4 linked regions of the Schizosaccharomyces pombe genome follow. The protein of the gene in region 3 interacts with the protein of the main gene of each other region in a biochemical or structural test. Each region holds a gene or a part of one and is shown on either strand. Other genes may lie near its edges. The genes, in order: ubc11, ubc4, uba1 and ubc1.

Evidence for each region.
Region 1: of the proteins of uba1 (region 3) and ubc11, one has a biochemical effect on the other in vitro, tested with the Schizosaccharomyces pombe proteins (3 studies listed by BioGRID).
Region 2: of the proteins of uba1 (region 3) and ubc4, one has a biochemical effect on the other in vitro, tested with the Schizosaccharomyces pombe proteins (3 studies listed by BioGRID, with this or other methods).
Region 4: of the proteins of uba1 (region 3) and ubc1, one has a biochemical effect on the other in vitro, tested with the Schizosaccharomyces pombe proteins (2 studies listed by BioGRID).

Annotation. Positions count from the first base shown.
Region 1 is NC_003421.2:1,057,946-1,061,645, reverse strand, and holds ubc11 (ubiquitin-conjugating enzyme E2-C Ubc11), read left to right. Parts: upstream 1-1,857; 5' UTR 1,858-1,908; coding exon 1,909-2,003; intron 2,004-2,051; coding exon 2,052-2,079; intron 2,080-2,129; coding exon 2,130-2,219; intron 2,220-2,388; coding exon 2,389-2,624; exon of another isoform or gene 2,625-2,674; coding exon 2,675-2,756; 3' UTR 2,757-3,160; downstream 3,161-3,700. Other genes in the region: protein kinase Chk1, read right to left, coding at 1-269, 315-504, 551-758, 797-1,225, 1,272-1,513, 1,559-1,626; gid1 (putative Ran GTPase binding protein), read left to right, coding at 3,457-3,700. UniProt on the Schizosaccharomyces pombe protein: Catalyzes the covalent attachment of ubiquitin to other proteins.
Region 2 is NC_003423.3:713,467-716,831, reverse strand, and holds ubc4 (ubiquitin-conjugating enzyme Ubc4), read right to left. Parts: upstream 1,548-3,365; 5' UTR 1,500-1,547; coding exon 1,380-1,499; exon of another isoform or gene 1,301-1,379; coding exon 1,223-1,300; exon of another isoform or gene 1,065-1,222; intron 852-1,064; coding exon 606-851; 3' UTR 521-605; downstream 1-520. Other genes in the region: 19S proteasome regulatory subunit Rpn3, read right to left, coding at 2,737-3,365. UniProt on the Schizosaccharomyces pombe protein: E2 ubiquitin-conjugating enzyme that catalyzes the covalent attachment of ubiquitin to other proteins. Mediates the selective degradation of short-lived and abnormal proteins. Mediates ubiquitination of pex5.
Region 3 is NC_003423.3:3,886,828-3,892,536, reverse strand, and holds uba1 (ubiquitin-activating enzyme E1), read right to left. Parts: upstream 3,861-5,709; 5' UTR 3,842-3,860; coding exon 3,836-3,841; intron 3,778-3,835; coding exon 3,713-3,777; intron 3,605-3,712; coding exon 637-3,604; 3' UTR 501-636; downstream 1-500. Other genes in the region: Pet117 cytochrome c oxidase assemby protein, read right to left, coding at 1-133, 187-282; exosome complex component mtr3, read left to right, coding at 4,259-4,373, 4,412-5,070.
Region 4 is NC_003423.3:3,002,759-3,008,603, reverse strand, and holds ubc1 (ubiquitin conjugating enzyme Ubc1), read right to left. Parts: upstream 4,205-5,845; 5' UTR 4,170-4,204; coding exon 4,127-4,169; intron 4,081-4,126; coding exon 4,024-4,080; intron 3,980-4,023; coding exon 3,932-3,979; intron 3,822-3,931; coding exon 3,790-3,821; intron 3,727-3,789; coding exon 3,723-3,726; intron 3,684-3,722; coding exon 3,214-3,683; 3' UTR 2,926-3,213; coding exon of another isoform or gene 1,417-2,925; 3' UTR 1,289-1,416; coding exon of another isoform or gene 905-1,288; 3' UTR 860-904; coding exon of another isoform or gene 851-859; 3' UTR 501-850; downstream 1-500. Other genes in the region: kinesin-6 family microtubule motor protein Klp9, read left to right, coding at 851-859, 905-1,288, 1,417-2,925; ribosome biogenesis protein Alb1, read left to right, coding at 4,767-4,880, 4,935-4,986, 5,067-5,218; ABC1 kinase family ubiquinone biosynthesis ATPase Coq8, read right to left, coding at 5,411-5,845. UniProt on the Schizosaccharomyces pombe protein: Catalyzes the covalent attachment of ubiquitin to other proteins. Functions in degradation of misfolded or regulated proteins localized in the endoplasmic reticulum (ER) lumen or membrane via the ubiquitin-proteasome system.

The sequences.
Region 1 (3,700 bases), on a different chromosome or scaffold from region 3:
TCCCCATTACGCTTTATAAAGTTTATAAGCTCTAAGTTATGGCCTAAATTAGTTAGTTCAATAACACCTTGCAAGAGACATTTCCGTTTATCATGTAAATTAACATAAAGGATGGTCTGATTTCGAACATATTTCATAGTCACTGAGATTGCAAGTAGTCGTAGACTGTCATAAAGATGATCTATAATGGTTTCTCTCGACGCCCTAGAATAAAACCTAGTGAGTCTTTCAGGAGGACAAATTTCGTAGAAATTCTTAGCCTTTTTGGCCTTTTTCATATAGTTAGAAAAAATTTAGGTTTAAATAAATAATACCAATCTTTTAATAAAACCTTCATTCTCACAAAACTGACTCAATGAGGGGTCTTTTTCAAGGATTTCAGTAACGTCAATATTTTTATTAAGTTGTACTGGCTGGGATAAGGCGCCATAAACTTCTACACGATCCAACTCCTTTTGGTCATTTTTTTTAAAAGCTGGCTGTGTCATTGAAAAACCGCTATCGCTAATTGAAAGAGTTAGAAATATGAAACAACTGTGCAAGATCTTACTTTTGAGATGCTCTAGATGAGGCAAGACGTGGTTTATCTAAATCAATACGAAGTTTCAACATGAGCCTTGATGCCAATGCTACAGGATCGGCACAATTCCCATTTTTAGTTCGAAATGGTGTACTTGAGGTAAGCCATGGGTGCTGTACAACATGTTTGACAGAGTAGCGCTTAAATGGATCACTTCGAAGCATTCCGGTGATAATCGCTGATCATTAGTTTAAAGGAATTTCAGTCAGGACTTACAATAGGCTCCTGGAGACAACAAGTTCCATGGGTGGTAAGACGGGCGTTCACATTGTTTTTTATAAAGCAAGTAGTCACCAGTGTTGCTAATTGCTTCATCCCAAGGTGTGTTGCCTAATAACAAAGCAAAAAGAATTATACCGCAGGACCAGACATCAACTTTTGAACCATCATACTGCTGTGTAATTTCTGGAGCAGCGTATGGTGGACTACCCACTGGACTATTCAAAAGCCTACTTTTACCTTTATAGGAAAATAAAGATGCAAAGCCGAAGTCTGAAATCTTTAAGTTACCATTGTAATCTAAAAGGATGTTCTCAGGTTTCAAGTCTCGATGCGCGACACCTTTAGAGTGCATGAAGGAAATACCTTCCATAAGTTGAGCAAAATAAAACTGAGCGACGTCCTCATCAATACCTACATCAGGCTCTAAATTGTAAGTCCGTTAGTAAAAACGAAAGGTTCATGCACCCACCTATTTTGTCAAATAAGTCACCACCTTGAGCAAATTCAAGTACTACCCATCTCCATTGGGGATTTTCTGCTGTATTATAAAAATGAATGATATTTTTATGTCCATTGCATAGTTTGTGAAGTTGTATTTCACTAGCCATCCTTCTAGCCCATACCCCTGCATTCATACAACTAGTAGCATGTTTTTTATTGACAAATTTGACAGCATATATTTTAGCATTATCATCGTAACATAAACGGACGCTTGCTTAAGTTAGTATATAGTATTTTTCAAATCAAAATTCATACGAAGCAAAAGCCCCAGTACCTATTTCTCTACCAATATGGTAAGGAAAGTTATCTAATTTTTGAGCCATTCTTTGGTGTAAAGGGAAAGAAGATTATAATATAACACAAGCATATGTTGCAAATTTTGGCATGTGTATTATTTACAGTCTTAACATCATCAAAGACTGGAAAAGATTAAATTAAGGTAATTTTTAAATGAGTTTTAAATCTATATAATGATATAAAATTGGACTATAATTTGATATCCGGTTTTCGTTTACTTGTGTACATTAGCACATGTTGTGTTGTGTTTATAACTTACTCTCCTACCACCACGTACTCATTGAGAAACTACAGTAACAACTTGAGGAATGGATTCTGATATGCAAAACCAGAACCCTCATACTAATTCTAAAAACTCTTCTTCTGCTGGCATGGCTGTTGACGGTCATAGCGTTACAAAACGGTAAAAAATAAACAGTTTTTAGGAAAAAAGTCTCTAATGCATTTGTAGATTGAGAAGCGAATTAATGAGTTTAATGGTTTGTAATAAGCTTTTTTACTTTGTTATTAACTAGGGTTTTATGACTAGATGTCCAATACTCCTGGAATTAGTGCGTTTCCAGATTCTGATTCTAACCTGCTACATTGGGCTGGCACAATTACCGGCCCAAGCGATACGGTATGACTTTTATTTTGAAAGCTTAATATTTAAAGTATATGAATAATGCTTGGTGTGCTTACTTGTAGCTGCACTTTAATGGAAAATTAATACACATCTTTGTCATTACATTTTCATAACTGTCTACTCTTCTTTCTTCTTTTTCATACGACTAACGTAACGAAAATAGTACTATGAAGGATTGAAATTTAAAATTTCAATGTCATTTCCAGCTAATTACCCATATTCCCCTCCAACTATCATTTTTACTTCACCAATGTGGCACCCCAATGTCGATATGAGTGGAAACATATGTTTAGACATTTTAAAAGATAAATGGTCAGCAGTCTATAACGTACAGACAATTTTGTTATCTCTACAAAGTCTGCTGGGTGAGCCAAACAATGCTTCTCCCTTGAATGCTCAGTATGTTGAAAATATCTCATTTACCTTTTTTGATTATTAACAATTCTTAGAGCTGCAGAATTGTGGAGTAAAGACCCTATCGAGTACAAACGTCTTTTAATGCAGAGATATAAAGAAATCGATGAAATTTAGTTAGGCCGGTCTATTTCATACTCATTTTCATTTCTGTTTAGTCATATGGATTTTCTTTTCCTATTCAATGCTTGAAAAAATGTCTTTAGTTAAACTTTCTTCATTGATAATGGAAGTTGAAATTATTTCATCTCATCGATTAAGCAATTCCTTCATGCAATGCCACAACCTCCTGAAAACCACCGAATGGTTTTTTAAGGACCGTCTATCATTATTTAGTTCCAGAAGTTGAAGTTGTTATTATGATGCTCGATTAAAGCTATTCTTGTTTAATGCATTCCGTTAATGCAGTCGTTTTTTTAGCTTTCCGTTAGATTATAATACTATTTTATTATTATTGATTCTCAATGTCATTGTGTTATGTATTATCGCAAGACAAGTATCAATGTTATGTTGTGCCTGAATTTTTTTCTGATTAGTAATAGGACTGTATATACAGCCTAATATTTGTATTTCTAATTTTGAGCCTTTAATCCTTATGAAGCCGTATAGTGAAGTATCTTTTCAGTCTCAGAGCATTTTATAGAGTTGCTGAAATTTACACGTCATTTAAAAATTTAAGAGTTTTACCAATTATTATTACAAAAGATTTGTATTTAATTACAAAAGAAAAACTGATTAGAAAATTGAACATTTAAACTGATAGCTGAATAAGCTACTAAAACTGGCTGTTTATATGCTACCAAGAGCATACCTGCGAATGACTAGTACACCAAAGAATCTTGAAAAACAGCCGATTAACTTCGACAATCTCCCCTTGTATTTACAAGGAACCAATTACGGAGAAAATGTGCTTAGAAGTGACCCACGATGGCTGAAATGGGAGAAGTATTTACGAGAGTTTGACATGACAAGGGAGGGCAATGTAACAAATACGCCGAAAGCCATTCCATCTTCATGGAATCCCAACGATAAGTCAGATTCATTAGAATTGATGAATAACA
Region 2 (3,365 bases), 3.2 Mb from region 3:
AAGACAAATACAAAACTAGGAGTTGAATTGACTGGCTATTATGAGTTGTGTCTATAGCAGTATCACTTCGTATTGCATGTCAAGTATTATCATTTTCTTTTCAGCAAAAAGGCGCTACAAGGAATTTGTTTATTACTTAGTTTTGTTTAATAAATATTTTTAGCAAAACCTTAAAGACGTAGAGCCGTTTACTCTCTTCGTAACACGACTTTCCATTCGTGTTATTCTACTTTTACTTGCACAATATTTCACTTAATCGGCAGTGTTTACGTACCTTTTTAAAAATATATGCACAAACGCTCTTGGAATAATCCAACTGGACCCATTCGGTCTTATTAAACACAAAGAAAAATTTTGTACTATTCAAAAAATCATAAAAATTATCTAAATCAAATCATACTTTATCCTCGAACATAATACAGTTTGTTTTAAAGGCAGCTTGTATCCTCAATTTTACGATGCAACTTTACTAGCTACATTATCGCCATCCCCTACTATTTATTTAAAAAACCAAAACCAAAAAAAAAAAAAAAAAACTATACAATACATTGGAGAAAACAATTCGCAAAAGAGATGAATATTTAATATCAACACAGAAACAAACTCTAGATTGCGTATTTTCTAGTCCATTCACGAGCACTTAATTCATAACGGGATCTGTCAGTTTTGTAGACGTGCGCAATTTCAGGCACAAGCGGATCATCAGGATTAGGATCTGTCAACAATGAGCAGATAGACAGTAATACCTTTGATATAGTCAACGCTGGAGACCATTGGTCACGAAGGATATCCAAACAAATGCTACCGTTTGAATTGATGTTGGGATGATAGATTCTGGTTGTAAAGTTTACCTACGAATATGCTGTTAGTTATCATTAAAAAAAAAAGACTATCAATCAGATTCGTAATGCTACGCAATGTAATTGCCCTCGCTTCACTTGGATGGACGCAATCGTATAAAAATCGATAAAGTTCCGCTGGTAAAACATAAAGAAATGAAGATAAAAGGTAAGAGTAAACAATTATAAAAAAACTTCTGCGTATACTCTTTCACCATAACACTTAAAAAATTTTGCATCACTGTCAACCATACCGATTTTTCCAGAAAAACAAGATGCAATCAACTCTTCAATTCATATTGTATATAACAAACTTCCTCCTCCGATTCACAAGCTTACAATGCGTATTTACATAATCTACACAAGACTAAATAGTTACATACCTTTGGTGGCTTGAATGGGTAGTCCGTAGGGAAATGAATGGACAAGAAGAAGACACCACCCGCATAAGGGCTGTCAGCCTATATATCATGTTAGCTGCACAATCCTAGCAAGCAAAATTTTGGCAGTGCGCAAGGCACTATTACAGCCGCGACTTACAGGACCCATGATTGTAGCTTGCCAATGGAATAAATCATCGCCAACAGGGCCGGCGGAACAAGAAGACGGTGGGTCTTTTCCAAGATCAGCTAATTCACGGTTAATTCTTTTCAAAGCCATCGTTACTGGTTTGCTTTTGCGATTTTACAAAGTCAGTAGTTTGCTCGTGGAAGAACGTGGACGGAGGTAGAAATAACATATAACCGATGGATGCACTAAATCACACGAGTTCGACTTTGTCTGAGTAAGCAATTTTTCAGGATGGCGCAACTTGCTTTGTACCTGCAAAATACCCGCTAAACAGTTTGTTATCCTTTTAAGGATACGCTACGTTACGATAAATTTTTTCGGGATCCAGCATACTATTGTATTACAAATAGGGCAAAATTAAAGAGAATTACAGATATTATATTATGGGGGCGGTATTATAACGATTTATCAATAAAAGAGCTTGTAAGTGAACTGAAGAACGAGGATCAGTTTAACTGACGACATGATGGCTAACTCAGAAACTATTTTACTTGTGAAATACAATATAGACTATATCAGTATCTTCCCGTATTTAGCGAATAGAGAAACCGGACAGGCGATATTTGATGATATGCGCCGTAGCGACCACAGCAGAATACACCATTGCTCAAAATATCGACAAAATTGTTAAATTACTATAACGTAAAAAATGAGCTTGCCGTTCCACTTTAAATATATAGTGTTGATCATATCTACTAACTTAGCTAAAATTGACAAAGTGGTAATGGGAGAGACTAATGTATAGCTTTGGTTTTATAAAGTGTTACTTAAGTCACGTTAGAAAACTAGCTTATATCCACTGTGGTTATTATTTTCTGCCGGAAGCCATTTTATAGCATTGCTTTATTTGCTCTAGTTATGCATAACAAAAAATAAATTTGCACAAAAATTTTTTGCCCATTTCGCCATTTATAATTAAAAAGACTAAAGTATACCTTTGATTGGAACCATAATCCAAGATCAAATCTGTATTGCTTCACAGCATAACCATAAATGTGTTTGCATACGTGTATTATATACGAAATATAAAACAACAAATTTGAAAATAAAGCACACGACCATTCTCCAAACCCCTGTGTTTTTAGCGTATTACTCATTTATTACAATGTGCAAAGACCAAGTCTCAGTTTAAACAACAAACGCATTTGTAGCGTTGTAGCACCGATCGAAAACTGTTTTTCAACAACTTTCCTTCTGTTACAGCTTCGCAAACTCACTAAATATTTCAATCTGTAAACTACATATAGTTTTCATAGACATTAAAGAAACATACAACTGAACAACTTTGAAAGTATATTTTAAGATCTATAAACTTTCCATAAGTTTTTTAAAATTCGCCCAAATCAGGCTCATCGTCATCTAAATCTGCCTCAGCCATTTCTTTATCCATACGCCTACGTGCCTCTTCCACACCTTCGAGTTCACTTTTGTGAGCATCCATGGGATATCGCATACTTTTTATGCTGTCATTATGAAGGGCAAGACAAAACTGAATACGTTCATGAAAAGCTTGTTGAGGCTGCTCGGTGGAATAAATATCCATGGCTTCGTTACTAGCCATAAAGGCATTACTATGATCGATACTTGCATCAATAACTCCATCACGGATGCCCTTAGCAACAATGTACTCGGCACTCTCTTCACTGTCCAAACCAAGCTTTATACAAACATCACGAAGGGAAATACGGGAATAAGATAAGGAGATCATCCTCAATCCAGTCTTAATGACGGTATGGCGAAGGCGGCATATCAAAGTATACAATCCATCGAAGCGAAATTCAGCCTCATACTTGGAAAGCGCGTCAGTGAAAGCACAAAGGTCACCAATACGAACTGCCTGGCTAATACGTAAGTAAGGCACTAAAGTTTTTTCGAGAGATTTTTGGCGGAAAATGCGGCGTTCGGGAATTTCTCCCATAAGCAATTGTACGACGATGTGCAATTTGTAAACAGCTT
Region 3 (5,709 bases):
CCTTTTCGTCCTCTTCAACAGGTAGCTGGCTTTCGTAAAATTTTCGTAACTCTTGTTGTCGCTTTAGGTCTTCAAACCTTTCTTTTTTAATTCTTTTCCTTTCATCATCTTTTTGAACTCCCGCCGACATTTTCTATACTTACATTAGCTATGGTGCATATTTTCTTTAATATAAGTAAATATTACCTCTCGTTCAATAATCTGATTATTATGTACGAAATAAACCATGTAAACACTAAAGACACCGGCCCCGACGATACAAAGTTTTGAGGCAGTAGACATTGGCAATAATTCTAGTTAAATTTAATATAATGTATACGATAGACTTTTGTAGCCGAGTAAAGATATACTCTTAGGTAAATTAGGAGGTTAGCAGTCGAAACTTACGTAAATGCCAATCGCCGACGTTAAAAAAATTGCTCAAAAAAACAACAATTTTACTACATGTCAAAATACTTTTTAAAATATAACAGATCTTAGTTCATAAAAATTAGAAAGAGTATAGGAAAAATAATAAATTATTCATACATGCCTATTAATGTTTTTTAAAGACTGCTAATACTAATTTAGTAAATTTATTAGAGCCATTGGCATTAAATGTTGCAAATTCCAGGAATTAACCGGTTCTCAAAGGTATTACAACTTGATACAAATAAATGGAACTTCAACGTCTTCACCGTTGGCATCATCACAGCAAATTTCAAGCACCAAGTGTTTCCGGAAAGGTTCTAGTTTTTTCTTAGTAATTTGCTCAACCAATTCAGAAATTTTGAGAGGCAACCTTTCAGCAAGTTTCTTAGGTGGTTGGAAATTAGCATACAAAAGAGAAACTCCAGATGAAAGCATGGTCACTTCCAACCCCTCTTCTTTTTGGAAATAATCAATAAGCTCTTGAAGTGTGCAGTCCGGGAGATTGTAGCGATCCCAGATTTTGTCGATTTCTTTACCATTGACTTTCATTTTCGGAGAAGCAATAGGATCAGAAAATGTAAAGAGCCCTATAGCAAGGTTGAAAAATCCATTTTTATATTCCTCGATCTTCTTTTTGCCATCAACAAGTTTAACAAGCTCAAGACATACAAGTCCTGAAACGACAGCAGTTGATGTACACATGGCTGGTACAATTTTACCGGCAACAAACTTCGTCTTAAACCTATCCGCAGGTGTGATGTCGTAATTCATGGCACGCAAATTTGATGCAGCCGTTATAAAGTCAATGTGATGATTAGAGTCATCGTCCTTTTCAAATTCTGCCGGAGTTAGTCTAAAACCCACAAGAGAGGATGGAGGTGGTAGACTGTCAGCAATCGATTTCAGTTCTTGTTTATCTTTATTAGCAGCGGTTTCGGGAGCTTCTTCATTTTCATTGACTTGAATTTTAATACCAGACTTGGGAGCAAAGGGAGGAGGATTGTAGCCAGCAAGAACGCGTTCGTAAATAGCTGGGTCTGTCTCACTCTTAAGGCCGTAGTTGAATGCATAAAGACTGGCTGCTGCAACTATGAAGTCAAAATGCTCACGGTTGTGAATATCAAAAGATAATGGAGTAGGGGCACGCTTAGGACCAGACCAAAACGGTTGGCCAGTGGAGGTTACAGAATCCTTAGGGAAATTGAAAAGTAATTGCTGAATGTTGTTGTTAAAGAACTTATCAAACTGCAAACGGGCCCACATAATACATTCCTCAAATGAAAGAGGCTTCTCCGTAACAAGATAATCTCTAATATTTTCTAAAACTTCACGGGGGTTACTACTCGTTTTCAATGAAGTTTCCAAAAAGTTAGGAGAACTAAGGTACATATTAACGTTATCGATAGGCTGTTTAAACAAGCCTTCAAAGAGATCGCGAGCCCATGCAATGGTGTGCTCAATACGGTTAGGAAAGTTCTTCAAAGTACAGATAGGAAATGACTTTTCAGGAGGGTCTTGGGATGATCCGTACGACTCTGTAAGATGAGGTACAACAACTTGCGTATTACCCTTAGTACCCAAAGTACCAGACTCTAATAATGGCTTTTCGAAAAATACACAACGGCGGTCAACATACATTCGAGCTTCGACGTTATCCAAAGCATTCGTGACTAAAGATAACTTTTCAAAGAATTCATCGCCAAATATGCCTTCGCTTTCTGGTCCAACACGTTCTTGATATGAAGTTATTTTACCAGTCAATGAAGGATTCATGATTGAAACAGCGGTAGAAGCACATTCGGACTTCAGCTTTCCGACGTCACGAGGACGAAAGAGAAATTGACGATTCAAATTCGATTTTTCAATGGAGTCCATATCAGTAACAGAAATATGACCACTTTCACCAGTAGCGACACCCATCATAGCCCAGTTTTTCAGCATTTCACATCCAATAGCGCCAGCACCAACCAAAAACGTACTCAAAGAAGCTATTTTCTCTTGAAATTCCGAACCGAAAACAGCGATTTGCCCATCGTATCGACAGCCACGAGGTTTACAAGTTTCTTCACTGATCGTTACAGAAGATGGCAAGCTTTCTAAGGAGTCAAAATAGAAGTATTGCTTCAATGGGTAAAATTTACTGGTGGTAGCTTTCAACACTTCCTGTGCTACAGCACCGCCCAAAAACGCGGACATTGCAACCAAATCACCTCTTGCCTGGTATGAAATTTCCTTAATTAGTTTTTCATCGAGTTCAACATCAAATTGAAGTGTGCTTGCAATTTTCTTACAAAATTCGAAAAATTCAGCTGCATCAATGTCGTTACGGGGTCGAGGCAATGAACCTTCATGCGCATCGGCAAATGCTGAAAGGGCCTGGAAAGCAATGTGGTATTGTGGAGGTCTCATCATTTTACCAAAGTCAGGATATACATATTCAGGGTCCTTGAGCGATTCGCGGAGAGATTTGAAAGATATTTTGGTTGGAACTTTAACTTGGGTAAAGACACCATTGTAACCGGCACTTCCTAAATCTTTAACAGATCCGATAGAAAAGGTATATGGACCTTTCACTTCAACTTTACGAGGAGTGCCATCATTTAAACCAGGCATACCCTTCACTTCGGTAAATTTAACAAAATCACCATTCTCCAATCCATGACGAGTTTCTTCAAGCATGGTAACAACTCCATCATCAGTAATTGAAGCGATCATTCCAGTTAAAGGTTCATTTCCATCAGTGTCAGTACAAATAAAGTTCTCACCAAAATCACAAAATATCGATCCAAAAAGACCACGGCTGTCAGCAGCAATATAAGCAATATGGTTTTTGTGTGTAAAGTCGTTAATTTCTAGCTGTTTCGTAAGAGAAGTTTCTGTGACAACCACGCATTTGAAGTTTTTTAGATACTCTGTTGAAAGTTCATCAACTACAGAAACAGGCACATATTGATTAAGCTCTGCTAACTTTGATACCGTTACTTTTGCACGAGGAACACCAATATCGTCTTCTGTAAGAAAATATTGTGATGATAAGTCCTCAATGCGTGTAGGTTGAGGATCGTAAAGAGTAACGCTTTTTACACCTGCTAGACAAACGTTCTTTGCTATTTCAACGCCTAAACCTTTGCAGCCAATGATTAAGACATTCGACTGACTCATTTGTTTCATAGCCTCATGGCCTAAAACATAACTTTAGATAAATTAGCAAGCGCTCAGTACAAGAAAGAATATAAAAACATAAAGCTAAACCAAATCAACACCGGTAATAATGACTCTTCATGTTTCTAATAAAACTTACAGTTGTCTAGAGTAAAGCCCTTCATCGATAGTATTTTGATCCGTTTGATCAATGTTCATGTTATTCTTTTGCAATGTTAGTAAGAAGCGAAAAATACTTGAATCATTTAAACAAATTACATACACTCATTACGAAACGTGGTGTTGGCAGAGGAGAGTCATACGTAGGCTATAATATAGTGTTTTTATATGTTCAAATAGCGAGCTCTTTCGTTACACATGCTTAACAATTTATTACTCATTAAATTTAAGAGCGCGCACTTGAAGTATGCTGGCTGGATAAAAAAAAATTTTGCACCATTATTCTAAAAGCATTTTTATTTTCCAGCTTACTGATTGAAACGCTTAGTCATTACAAAAATCTTTTAGATGCGATAAAATTGCTTTCTATATGTCATATATACACCGAATCAAACAATATCGTTATATATATTAAGGCATGCAAACGCGTCATCCCAAAACGCGAAGCCACCACTGAAAATCCAGGCTGCTTCTGTATTGTTTTCTTAACGGTACATCAAGGTTAAAACAAATACTCTATAAATCGATGTCAGATAGAAAGAGAGTGTATGGACCGAGTGTATCCGTTCCCCCTTATTTTGAAGAGCCAGAACAACCTGTTTTCACGCGGACTCGTGATGTTGACAGATGTCGAAAAATATGTAAGATACCGATTATTAACATTTTCACTGACAATTAGATCTAAAATTAGGGTGGGCTACTAAAGCTGTCGGTAGCAGTTATTTTGAATCAGAAAAAATAAAAATTGCATGCACAGTCTCTGGTCCTCGACCTAGTAAGACTTTTGCTTTTCGTTCATCAGCAAAGTTGAATTGTGAATTTAGATTATCCCCATTTTCTACTTCTGTTCGTCAGGGACATGTACAAACCGTCGAAGAAAAAAGCTATTCCCAAATGATTGAAGCAGCAATTTCTCCAAGTATATTACTGCATTTGTATCCGAAAAGTTCTATAGACGTTTATATTCAAGTGATTGAAAGTGACGGTGCATTAGCAACATTGGCTGCTGCTATAAGTTGCGCATCAAGTGCAATAGCTGATGCTAACATCGACTGCATAGATTTGGTGACGGGCTCGAGTGTATTATTTAATCCCAATACGGATGAATATTGGATTGATCCTGATTATGTGGATGAGCGTGCAAGGGCTGCTAAAGGTTCTGTAGTTATGGGGTACATGGCTTCTCTTGGTCACGTTACTCAAGTATGGGAAAGAGGCACTTGCTCTCCGAGTCGCCTTTCGTTTTTGACGGAAAAATGCATAAAGAATGCCAAAGATACTCGGTTAGTAATTAATCATGCACTGCTACTAGAGAAGTCGAAATCCGAAGATCCTTAGATATTGGAATTCTACCTCTATAATAATATTCTGTTGATGGCTAATATTTATACCAATTTTACAAATTACATAATCAAATTTATTTCTTTTTAAAATTCTCTTCTATTAGTTGGCAATGCTCAAGTTTTGCCTTTTTTTCCTTAACACACATTTGAAGGGAGACGCTATCTTTTCTCGACAAACAAGCAGATGACTTCCCTAAGTAGATTTTCTTCTTTGAAATCAGCTTGGCCATCCGCAAGTTACGTTTGTTATGAAAAATACGAGTAAATATTAAATTAAAGATCTTAGTTTTTATCACTCGCGAATATATTCAGTAGCCAAACGATTAACTCTTTCCAATTTTTTCCAGTCTATTTATCGATTCCAATAGAACAAAACAAATGCTGAGATTTTATTAATACATATATTTGATACTAATTTATCAAGCTGCATTGAGACGAAAGCATCTTGGTAGTACTAGAATCATTGTTACTCACATACTGTTACCTGCTTCTTATAACCTCCAAATCAGCGAAATTCCGCGTCTTCATCATAGCCAAACTTATGCTCAATTGCCTCGTTTGTAAATTAAAATATATTTAACAATAAGAAGGACGATAAAGAGGGGATTCTTCTATACAATAAAATTGCTTTCAT
Region 4 (5,845 bases), 880 kb from region 3:
GGATATACGAGCAAATGCTGTTACAAATGTATATACAAGCTATATAGTGTTTGCCATTATTTTTCATACCGAAATTAAAATGATACTATATTCAAAATGATTCCTTTGATATGTACCATTGCGAAAATTTTATTTTATTTTTTAATATGTATGTATACATATTTTTTTTTTGTTTTGAATAAGTAAATGCAATGTTTATGAAAATGAAAAAATCGATTTATATATTATATCGGTTGATGTGCGACTTTTAAATTTTAAAATGTTTTTACATTTTTTTCTTTATTCAGTGATAATTTATTTTTTTTTTCTTTTGTGGACATCACAGACTCCATGGATACATCAAATTGCAATCGCAGTCGTCGGCGCGCATTTCGGATTAACACTAATAAAAGTGCATGATTCTTTAAACTCGCAGAAATTCGTAAATTCGTTGTACTGTTTACAAGACAGCATATTTTGCACAAATATTCAATTCGTGCAAAATGGTGAAAACTATGTCTAAGCCGACTTCAATCGCGTTCTCAAGCTAGGTTTATTAAAAATGGGCAAGGAAAAATTCTTACTTGTTCATCTAATTATTCTTTCTTTTTATCTAATATATATTTCGTCCATCCTTAATGCTTGATTCTTTTTTTTTTCTTTCTAAATCACTAAAAATAATCTATTTAACTAGATTGAACATTACATTTCAAGATCTCTTAATTTTTTTCTCCTATAAAGAGCTCTACAGAAATCATCGCAATTGTAACGAAGTAAAACAAAGTGCTGTGAGCAACTGTCTTCCAACACTTCCATCATTCTTGTACACAAAGGATTGCTTTTAAGTCCCTTTAAACTCTGAAATTGACCAATGATACAGGTAAGCAATTTCTAATCCTTTATTTAAAATTGCTGACAATTTCAGATTTTTCTGCGTGTCAAAAAAGCACAGCCGAGTTCGGACGCTTCAAATAAATATGGATTTCTTACGGTGCTTAACGATTACGAAATTTTGCTGGAATCTCCCGAGGATTCACATGCTTACAGAGTTTCCAAATCTAAAACGTTAGAAAAGGCTTCTTTTACTAAAGTCTTTCCTCCCTCTTGCACACAGCTCGATGTCTTTTCTACTATTTGCGCTCCTTTAATAGCGGATTCCTTGGTAAACATGAACGATACCTTGTTGTTTACACTTGGTGTATCGGGAGCAGGTAAAACTTATACGCTTTTCGGTCCTTCAGATCGTCCGGGTGTTGCGTTCCTTGCATTAGACGCCTTGTTTTATGCTATCAAGGGACGAGAGGCAAGTGTAAGTACACATACCATTGACGATTTTTAAGCAAAACATGTTTCTTTCTGATGACTTTTTTTTATTTTAAATCATTGCTATTCTCGTTTTGAAATATAATATGACGAATTTAATGCTGACGATTTTAGCCCCAAACAGTCGAGTTTTTACGCTCTCAACTTGAAAAATGCAAAATTGTTGAAGCATCAAAATTTTTAAGAGGAGAAGCCCCGTTGGACATCAAGGTACCTAATACTGAATATTATGCCAGTCATTTTCCCAAAATCGAAGAGAAAAATTATCAGTATGCTATTTACTTGTCGTTTGCGGAAATCTATAATGACCGAATTTTCGATTTACTAGAGAAGGCCAGCTTTTTTGGACATCGTCATGCCTTATCGTTGAAGAAATCTTCGACATCGGATAAAAAATCAATTGCTGGAATTCAAAAAGTGTTCGTTTCAAACACCACTGAAGCTTACAAATTGATTCAAAAAGTTTTACAACTTAGAAAATCTACTTCTACAAAATCCAATTCTGTTTCTTCACGCTCACATCTAATCATGTCCATTGAGCTCTTCAAAGTTTGCACCAAAAGCAATAAATTTGAAAGTTGTCAAATAGATTTGGTGGATTTAGCCGGATCCGAGCGTACACGTTCCGCAGAAACTTCAGGTCTACTTCTTAGGGAAGGAGCAAGTATCAATCGAAGCTTATTAACTTTAGGGCAATGTTTAGAAGCCCTTCGGAGAAAGCATGAAGGAAAACAGCATATCATACCCTTTCGCCAAAGTAAACTTACAGAACTTTTGTTTCATTCTGGACATCTTTCTGGTCTGGCAGGAATTAACATGCTTGTAAATATTGATCCGTTTGGTAGCTTTGATGAAAATGCCCAAGTAATGAGGTACAGCGCCAATGCTCGTGAAATTTTACCTCCACCCCTAAATGAAAATTCAGGCTCTCAATCTCCTTCGCATTCATTATTACAGAAGTCCAAAAATACATCAAGCACAAAAGCCTTAACATCACACTTGGAACAATTGCAACAGGAAAATCAGCAATTAAGGATGCTTCTAGCTGATGCAGATTCAGAGATGATGAACTTGGAATATGAAATTCGTCAACAAATGACCCGAGAAATGGAAGAACGCGTTTCTGAGGTGGAGCGCACGTTCCTGACCAAATTGCTTGAAGAATCTGCCCAAGGTATAGAATACACTGATCAAAAGCTAGAAAAAATGGGAGGATGGATGAAAAAACTTCAAGATGAAAATTCCGAAAAAACAGAAACGATTGCGCAGTTAGAACAAATTATCGAAGAATTACATGAAGAACTTCGAAGCCTTGAAGAGGAAAGTATTAAAGAAAGTTCGGCGACACAACAAAATGAAAATCAGCATAAAAGATCATCTCGCAAACTGCTTTATGAAGATAAACAAGCTATTCAGGAAGCCCATACTATAAATACAAAACGCAAACTGTGGCCACAGTCGACATTGATCCAAGCGCCAAATAGTGATGATGAGGAAAACGTACCCAGTCCGAGTCCCAAAAAAAAAGTTGTATCTCCAATAAAACCATTAAGCCCCTCTCGACGCCCTCCGTTGACTTCTTTGTATAGTGGGACAACTGATATCGATATTAATGAATTGTAAATCCGTCGTGCATAGTGCTTATGACAACTAAACGCACTATCAATCTCTAATGACATTCCATTTATAACGTTACGTGAAATATATGATACATCTTTCGATATTTTAATAGAACAAAACAGCTATAGTACCTCCAATCAATAACGATCAAATTTAATGTGAGATTGATATCAAATAAAATGTATATCATTAAAGTTACCAAGAATGGCAAAATGTGTTCATAACTCTTATTTGAGTAATATTTAGCTCTTGCCTTCACATGTATGTAGTCTTTAAAACGAAGGCATTTCCTTAATGTAATAGCTGATCTAAAATCCCATTGATGCCGTTTGGATAGTCCTTAAGATCTTCTTGGCTCTTTATGTGTTCCCTTTGTAAAACCCGTACTATAAGCTCTGTTGAAAATCCAAATTGCTGTAGATTTGTAATAATGTTTGGATCAATTCCACCAAACTCTGTATTTTCTGCATCTAAGTCAACTCCTGCAGGTGCGGCAGCATAAGAACTTGTCCATTCGCGGGCGGTTCGGACAAATTGTTGGTAGTTTTGCAGATACACTTGAGCTACCTGAGCATCTTGAGGATTTGACGGCTCTGGAGTGCACAAAAGTGATTGTAAACTTATTAAAGCTGATTTCATTGTATAAACCGGTGACCATTGATCCTTTAATATATCTAAACAAATAGCTCCAGTTTGGGAAGAAACGTTAGGATGATAAATTTTAGTATCAAAATTCATTTTAGGGGGGCGAAATGGATAATCTTTCAAAATTAGAAAAGAACCGGATACCTATAACATACCAATCTAATTATGTTATTAGTAAAATCGTAAATAAACACTATGAAAGATAATATTAAGTAGACTTACAGGAATTTCAATATCGACGACGAAGTAGCCACCTAAAATGTTAGGACCAAATAACTAAATAATAATATGGTTTTAAACGATGCAACGGTAAATTTTTCACAAGTGATAGCTCTTAATTTGACGACCTACGTAGGATGCGTACCCTCATAAGGAGTTCCCTCAGGACCTCTAAACATTCCTTTTAAATGTGCTACAAAAAGATTAGCAATATAATAGTGTATTTAGCTGTCTTACATATATCATCGTTTATAGTCCATACTTGAATTCCTGCTTGCTTATCCTGTTGAACATCTTCTCAATTAGTACGGTTTTATTAGAGATTTTAAATTATAAATACCAGCAAGTTCTTTAGCAATTCTACGAGAACGATTGTCTGACATATTGTGTTGAGTAGTTAATATTGTGTGTTGAATACAACTTCGGGCTAAGGATGTAGCAACCGTCTTATTTTCTATACTTCATATAATGATCGATTTAATAGACTGTTGAATACGGCAAAGATCTCAAAATTTGCAGAAAACATGCATGTCTTTATTTTAATTTTTCAATTTTGTATTCATAAAACAACATTTTGATCAATAAAAAAATAAAAAATAAAAAATTGTGACATTAGTAGTGCATTTTCAAATTTGATATAGCTTTGTTATTAAGCAGCACTAAATGACGATAGATAAAGGACATCACTTTCGTGCTTTTAATATGATCATGCTGTAACTTATTGAACTTTTATTTCGTATTAATAAATTAGAAGCATCTAATAACGATGAACTTTTTGTAATTGGAATACCGAAGCACAAATATGATTATATGATGATATAATGTAAAAATAAATTACTTTAATGATATTCTTTTCTTATATTATACTATATTTTTGTATTTGAAATGAACTTGTATCTTTAAATTGATTTAAGGTGCTTTACGTGTTGCTGCAGTATACTAATACAAAAAATATACGAAAGTTGAATTCAACTTTTACAATGCCCCATAGAAACGATAGAAGAAAGTCTGCTTCAAAGGCTCCTAATGCCATTATTCATGGCCGTGTTGCGAGTAAAAAAACCATAAAGAAGCAATTAAGGAATGGAAAATATGTAAGATTAAATCACCTTTAAGCATTTTAAAGAAATACCTAACCAATAATTTAGTCGCTGAAACGTCTTGCTGAAAAGGGGATCCATTTAGATGATATTGCAATGGGTAAGAAATTTTTTTAATAGTGTGTTTTACAGGAAAGCTTCATTTCCACCGTCAATTATGTATCTAACAAACGGACATAGAGATTGATAATGCCAGCAAGAAAAACATTTCCAAAGATAAGTCTTTGAATGAAAATCTATTTGGAAAAACCGAAGCCGGGAAACAAAAGGATTTCATGAACATTGAGCCAACATGTAAAGGAACAATTTTGGGTGCTCCTCCAGCATTATAAGCTTATTTTTATTAAGCTTTATGGGTCTTTAGGGTTGATTGATAATAATATTAATACAATATGTTTTAAATATACGGTCCACACATATAGGGTTTCAACCAATGTGTTATCTATTTTGGAAAAAAAAAATTTGTATCATTGTATTAAGTCATCAAGTTGCTATGGTACTATGGCTTTTTCATATAAAAACATTTAATCAGCGTAATGTTTCAACATTCCAGAAAACAATTCCTTACATCTCACCTTGGCGCCAAGCTTGGCACACAAAAGGAAATGCCCGCTTAGTCTACGGTGTAATGAATAAGTTTCTTCTGGAGGAGGTTGAAGTCTTAAATCAAGCATAACAGGAATCTGCTGCTTAACCCTCGCAGTGATCGTTTGATCGCCAAAGTCGTAGACGTCAGGTGCATCAAATGCAAATGGCTCCGCAAGAGTGAAAATTGAATTTATATGCGCATCTATCATTTGAGCAGACTCATGATTATTTAAGTATCCTAGTTCAACAGATAATTTTTTGCACTTTTCTCGGTTACGATGAGCCGCCGCTAGTAAAAGTCGGCAATATTTCTTGATGAACTTTTCATCATATTCAATTGATGCTCCAAAATCTAGTAATTCAATTTTTTT